Linked DNA regions of Nothobranchius furzeri. The protein of the gene in region 1 binds, or shares a complex with, the protein of each later gene. Links are inferred from orthologs where the notes say so. Each region holds a gene or a part of one and is shown in the gene's direction. Other genes may lie near its edges.

Evidence for each region.
Region 2: the proteins of nedd4l (region 1) and amot are in contact, whole or in part, in a crystal structure (PDB 7LP3), measured with the Homo sapiens proteins. The link is inferred for Nothobranchius furzeri from reciprocal best matches to the Homo sapiens genes NEDD4L and AMOT. Residues at the interface, in NP_001138439.1 of Homo sapiens: Lys202, Asp204, Leu206, Arg208, Tyr210, Val212, Asn213, His214, Arg217, Thr218, Thr219, Gln220, Trp221; in NP_001106962.1 of Homo sapiens: His235, Arg236, Gly237, Pro238, Pro239, Pro240, Glu241, Tyr242, Pro243, Phe244, Met247.

The regions. Positions count from the first base shown.
Region 1 is NC_091746.1:58,544,870-58,548,698, forward strand, and holds part of nedd4l (E3 ubiquitin-protein ligase NEDD4-like), read left to right. Parts: intron 1-130; coding exon 131-190; intron 191-428; coding exon 429-536; intron 537-2,580; coding exon 2,581-2,677; intron 2,678-2,908; coding exon 2,909-2,981; intron 2,982-3,829. UniProt on the Homo sapiens protein: E3 ubiquitin-protein ligase that mediates the polyubiquitination of lysine and cysteine residues on target proteins and is thereby implicated in the regulation of various signaling pathways including autophagy, innate immunity or DNA repair.
Region 2 is NC_091750.1:44,152,405-44,155,844, reverse strand, and holds the end of amot (angiomotin), read left to right. Parts: intron 1-768; coding exon 769-902; 3' UTR 903-2,734; downstream 2,735-3,440.

The DNA.
Region 1 (3,829 bases):
TGTGTAGTGATTAAAAGTTACCACATGGGGGCGATGTAACCACAGACTAACCTTGGTTTCCAAACCTTACCCTTATGTTTATTTAACTGATTTACAACTTTAATCATTTTATTAATCATTTTATTTTCAGGGCTTCACAGAACTCATTCCCATCGATTTGATCAAGATCTTTGATGAAAATGAGCTGGAGGTATGGACACGTACCTTTAAATAAAAAGTAAAGTGGAGGCTTTTTTTATTATTAAATCCAAACAAGATTATTATTCTTTGATATGTTTTAAATTATTACTCAATTATATTTACCTTGTTTGATGAAGACATTTTATTTACATGTTTTTGGACCAATGAGATGTTCTGTTACTCCTCTATGATTATGTGGTATTATTGTACAGAAAGTGTGACTGACTGTGAATAAATTGTGTGTGAAGCTGCTGATGTGTGGACTGGGTGATGTTGATGTCAACGACTGGAGACAACACACTATTTACAAGAACGGCTACTGCCCAAACCATCCGGTGATCCAGTGGTTCTGGAAGGTTTGTTACCTACCCTCACACGCACTCGCAACCACATCCAGTAGAGACACACAAGCTAAACACTGGATTTGTGTTTACACTAGAAAATGATAAAGTTAGTTTGTGAAGTTTAAACACAATTTAAGCAGGATTTAAAACTTTAAAGGCTCGTTTAGAAACTTAAGAGATCCCTCTGACTTCAATAAGACTGAACATTTACTTTTTAGAACGTTTTTATGTTTGAATAGGTCACCTCAATGAAAACAACCAGTCCTGTGTAAAAACTCTTGCATCAGGAGACAGACCACCATCTGTTAGTTTAGGTCTTGAGCTGTGAAGGAAATAAGCAAGGAGACTACAGACGTAAAACACTGCAGTGTACTCCATATCTACTCAAGCACCTCTGACATCTGAGATGCAACTATTTATCATTCAGTCAAATGTAAAATAGCTCAAAAATCTGAATATTTCCCAATAAACTCCGGGTCCCGGTCATGGCTGTAAGCGTCCGGCTTGATTTCCTGGCCTGACTTTAGAAGATCAAAGTCTGTTTGAAAGAACAGGCTTGTTTGCTGTGATGCAAGAGCTTAAAGTATTACCCGCCCTAGTTATCATCTCGACTGGAGCGTTAACGTACTCACACACATCAAACGTACTTCTGTTTGATTTCGGGCCATCACTTTTAGATTCATCAGGACACGGTGACACAGAACGTCGGCTAGTTTGGTTTCCTAAACCTCAGCCATCGTAATGAAGGTACACTGACTCTAGCAGAACGAAGGAACGCTGAAGCCAAGTTTGGCATTCGAATTTGAGACTAGAAGCCGATATTTATTGTTTTTTTTTTATATATACATTGGTCGATATTTGTCCTTAGTAAAGCCGATTTAAATTCAGGCACATCCTCGAGCAGCCCGGTGCTGTTGCAGAATTTAATTCCAATGTTTTTTTAGAATCATTAATAACATTTGCATAATAAATATTCTAATTAACTTTATTTATGTGTCTGACTTTTAACACTGAGCAGTGCACAAAATGGCATTTACATTTTTCAATTTTGAAAATTCAATTTCAAAAATGGATTCAGCTATAGGAATGTTCTGCATCAATTGATGTTATTAGTGACATTTTAGCATGAAGATAGGGTAGAAAATGTCTAGACATCGGCCATGGAAACCCATAACAATCAGCAGTACACATCAGCCATCTGCTGACCGTGTCTCCTACGTATCGGCCATCAGCTGATCGTGTCTCCTACGTATCGGCCATCGGCTGATCGTGTCTCCTACGTATCGGCCATCGGCTGATCGTGTCTCCTACGTATCGGCTTCAGAAATAGAAAAACCAATATCGGTCGACCTAACCTCTTCTCATATACAGATACTATTCTCTTGAACATGAACTAAAAACACAAAGAAAGAATCATTCAACAGTTAATGCTAAACCGCTAAGCTAAGTCTGCCAAACTGAACGCCAGAGCCTTTGTCAGACTCGATGCAGTCTGCTGGGTTCCTTATGTAGGACACTTTTTACCGATTGGCTTAATGAGCTGAACTGTGTTGGAATGTTTACTTTGTGAAGTACCTTGAGACGACTCTTGTTGCGATTTGGCGCTATAGAAATAAACCGAGTACTGAAATTACTTTGTGATCTACCAAAAAGAAAAACACTTTCTTTGATAATGTTTGCGTTGGGGCGACGGTGGCACAGGAGTTAAGTGCTCGCCCCGTAAGCGGAAGGTTGCAGGTTCGAGCCCCGCTCAGTCTGTCGCTGTCGTTGTGTCCTTGGGTAAGACACTTAACCCACGTTGCCTGCTGGTGGTGGTCGGAGGGACCGGTGGCGCCAGTGCTCGGCAGCCTCGCCTCTGTCAGTGCGCCCCAGGGCAGCTGTGGCTACATTGTAGCTCATCCCCGCCAGTGTGTGAATGTGTGTGTGAATGGGTGAATAACGGATTGTGTTGTAAAGCACCTTGGGGGGTTCCAGGACTCTAGAAGGCGCTATATCAAATACAGGCCATTTACCATTTACCATTTAAATGAATCTGTGTTTATTTTCCTCTTTTAAGGTTGTTCTTCTGATGGACGCTGAGAAGAGAATCCGACTCCTTCAGTTTGTTACGGGAACATCACGAGTGCCCATGAATGGTTTTGCTGAGCTTTACGGTGCGTGACCTCATCATATCACTTTCTCTTTATTAGATTTTTTATTTAGTATTAATAAACTGCTGCTTGCCCTAAACCTTCAACATAGATTTATCAGCCCTGTTGGTCCCTCATAAGTCTGGATTTCCAAGAAAGAATTCATTTTAAAGGGATTATTAAAATGAAGTGTTTGTACTGGAATGTAGCTTTTTAATGCGAGGAGTCAACTAAACAATCTTCCTTTTATTCCAGGTTCTAATGGACCTCAGCTGTTTACAATTGAGCAGTGGGGAACACCAGACAAGCTGCCAAGAGCTCACACATGGTAACACAACACAATTTTTCACACAGTTGTCTTTCAAATGGATGTTTGCTTACATTATAGCAAAAACATGGCCAACGGTTTAATGGAAGGATTTTACATTTTTTATATTTATTATTGTGATGCCTGTAAATAATGAAATAAAAAATGTCACACTTTTTGTTCCAAATAGAATTAAAATGAGAGGGAAGAAACAACCTTTCCTTTGGATAAAATTAAAAGAACATTTCATTACACTAAAATATCGTTAAATTGGTTGTTATTATTGCAATCATATTTTTGCAATACTTGTAATTCTTATATTTGTGTTTTATTTGACTTACTGATGCTGATGTTCAGGATGTCTCAGTTTCTTCTGGAGTTTTTCAGCCGAGCCTCCAGCTGTTTCAAAACCTTTATTTTTATTATTGATTGTTGTGGTTGTTGTATATTTTCTTCCAGGCTCAAGAAATCTTACTGAAATTTAATATTTTAAAAGAATCGTAGACCTTGGTTGGATGTTGGTGCAGAGATTTAACGTTGGATGCCTGCAACAGACCACCTCAGCAGCCAAATGCAGTCTCACATTTATTGTGAACTTTATTGTGAAGTGTCTTAAAGAAATTTATAAAACTCAGGGATTTGTTTGCTTGCATCAAGTTATCAACAAATTCTGCGACTTTCCACATTTTATGGTAATTTTAATTTATACGATTCTATATTGTCTGCGTTGCAGAAATCATGGGGCCCATGTTTACCACTATTAGAGCAGTAGCTGCCTCCCTTGTGGGTCTTTTCCTTGTAATATTTTGGTAAATAATTAGGAATTTTACACTGAAATAATCACAAAACAGTCTAATGACTCAGTCACG
Region 2 (3,440 bases), on another chromosome or scaffold:
AAATTTCCTTTCTGAACTGTTTCTGTTGAGTTTTAATGTTTAAAATCTGTTAGATTGTTACTGACAGCAGCTACGTTTAAGTTTCACTTCCTGTTCTGACTGAACGCTGCTGCAGCATGGAGGTGTGGTTCTCAGTAGGGATGTCCCGATCGGGTTTTTTTGTCCTCGAGTCCGAGTCATCAGGAGGAGGTCTGAAAAAAGGCCTCGGAACCAAAAAGACAAATCTGACCTGTGTGTGAAACCAAATTCCGGGATCGAGCTGACGCTAATGTGTAAACGCCATTACACACATGTGCAAACAAACACACACACACACTACTTGTATAGAGAGAAGACCGATTCCCAGACTGACTTATTGTTCCAACCAAACTTTATAACCATTCAGCTAGTGGTTAGCATTTTGGTTGTACTCACTACTCTGGCTTCTCCATCAGGTGGTCTTAACATTTAAATATCGTCTGTTTAAAGAAGTAATCCGTCTGAAACCCCACTCCGGTACTGGCGGATGTTCAACAAGCAATCGGTGGACTGTCACATTCTGGCTGAGTTTTTTAGCACTCCTGAGGTTAAAATCCAACCATTTCTACCATCGAAACTCTTCTGGAGTTAGCGACACGTTTTACTGATCAGATGTTGGAGACTTGAGGCCTAGATACCAGCCCACTGTTGGGCTGTGTGTTTTATTTACTCCCTGGCCTACTGGATGGAGTTTTGTGTTTGATGCTGTTATTAGAACTTTACATTTAGGATGTTTATTTGTTTGTGTAGATGTACCTGCTTTTCACAGCAGCACGCTGGAGAGAAGGTTTCCTGTCCAGGCCCTGGTGCTGCCGCCAGCTCCTGCTTCAGCTCCACCACCACAACAGGAGGTGGACTCAGACGTGGTGGAGATCCTCATCTGAACTCAAGAAGAAAACAGCAATAAGTGATCAGATGGCAGCTTCATTCCAAATCAACGTGGTTCTGATTTGTCTTTATCCTCCACGTCTTAGACACCGATCCGCCCGGCGAGACTCCTCTGGTTTAGTTGTTTTTGCTGCATTTATTTAACATTTGCACCCTGATCGGGGACAAAAACGCAACCACCACAGTCCTGTTTCATCTCAGTTTTGTAGTTTGCAATAATGAAATAATACAGGTCATAACTTCTTATTTATTGGCTTTTTAGATGCTTTTTCCTTTAGTGCTTCAACAAAACTAGATCAATGGTACCGGGGTAGGGTCCCCACAATGATTCCTACAGATCCTGAGCACAGACCAGGCACCAGACGTCTTTCCACTCTGAAGCTTAAAGGGTAAATGTTTACAGCTTCTGTGTACCTCTTTTTTTCCTACGTAAACCTGACAGCGGGTACTGTTTATGTGAAATTCTTGGTACTTGCAGGACTCTGAAACTCTGCATGCTCATCAGCCCTGTGTACCGCCGTGATAGCAGAAATCTTAATCATCTAATCATTGCAGCTACATTAACCTCCTTCTGTTGGGTTGATATGGTGTTCATTAGAGCTGGAGTTTGGGAAACGGATACTAAACCTGACTTTGGTCATGTCTTTGTGCTCCATCTAACCTCTGGAAATACTGCAGACCTCCATACCCTTCCGTCTGCCACACAGTAACCCTAACCCAGCAGCAGCAATGTTACTTTGCAGAAACTTCCTTCAGCGTCTGAATCCAACTGCTTCTCCAAATCATGTGGCTTTGGTAAACAATCTGTAACGTGGAGGAATGTGTGTCACCTGCCACCTTCATGCTGGAGTTTTATTAATCTGCTCTTTGCTAACTCACTAACATCTGTTTATTCTCTTAGCTCATGTGTAATTTAATCAGATTGTTTATCAACACACTCAGTGTAACGGAAAAACCGTTTGATTTGATCAGAGAACAAAAGCCTCAGTTTGGTGACAGTGTTGTTAGTCTGGGTGCGTGTGTGTGAGAGGACAGCGAGCAGAAATGTTTTCATCAATCCAGAAATCCACGTTTGTGAAGCCTAAACCTCTGCAGACCTGGAGCATGCAGGGCTGAGTACGCCTCAGCGTTGGAGCTAGTAGACCGTCAGGTTGGACAGGATGACTCTGAGACCTGGGCTTCAGCCTATTTATGCAAATTACACTTTCTGTTTACTGTCTTGAGATCATTTCAGTTTTTTCAGCTCCATTTAAATTAGAAAAGTGGACGGAAAGCCATTCTTCACCTTACACCTGTATAAAAGACATTATCCTTTTAGCGGCTGCAGTACACAATAATGTAGCTAATGTATGTTTTTCATTGTTGTTGGATTTACTTTTTATTATCGCTGCACAATCAGCCACAAACCCAGCACAGCTCTTACTAAACAGTTTAGAGGATTTACCCCTAAAATCTCCACAGGGAGAAGGAAGGCCAGGCAGGAAGTGTAGCTACACGCCTAAACTCGGTTATCGGAGCAAAGAAATGTAGGTGTAGTACACCGAAGTTAAAATAAACCAATAACCGAAAAGCAAACTTGCACTACAGTAGCTGGTCCAGCAGGTGGAGCAAAGCAAAACACATAAAAATGAAGTTCTCCATCTGTACATGTGACTGCTCTGGAGATGAACACATGATGATCATGTGATGTCCAGAGCTCCATCAGCGGTAGAGTGACCCTTTGTTAGCGCATAACCAAACCCTGTTATGGTTTTATTCGTTTACAATAATGTATGTGTACTTCCTGTTACATTCTTAATGCCTTAAATAAAATAGCACTTTGAATCAACTCGGTTGTTTTTTAATGTGATCAATAAAGTTTAACATTATGTGAAACGTTTCTGTCTGCTCTCAGAGGTCTGACCCAGACATATGTCTCCAGACGAAGCACATTCTGCGGAAAGCCAACGTAACAAACATGTTGGCTAAACGACGTGTCGAAGGGCTACACCAGAGTAGACGAGGGTCAAAGCGGAGGTCACCAACACCACTATACAATAAAACGTATCTGAAGTTTGCTGAGATGTTTTTAATCACAAATGCATTAATATAGATCTAAAAACTACAATATTCTTTAAAAACAAATTATGTTTATTATACACAAGGGTTCGGTTTAATGCTGATCCATTCCAGTTCAAAGGCCAGTGTTGTACCAACCTGGTGGCCCTTCGTATAGCTCAGTACCCAGGAAGTGGCTCTCAGCTATACAAAGGTTGGTGACCGCTGGCCTAAAGCTTTGATCTGCTGCAGCAAACCAAACGTCCAGCTGATGGAATCCGAGTTCTCGTAGGAACATTTCCTAATTAAATTAAATAACAGCTGATCAGGGATTAAATGCTAAAGGGACGACCATCGCTGCTTTCCTGTCTCTTTAGGATAGAAGCACTGGTCCAGTCATTACACACCAGTACAATAAAGAGTTCATCTTTTATTTTTAAACTCTGGACAGTTGTGTTCCTGTTAATCTTTCTGAGCTGCATCACAATGATGATCCA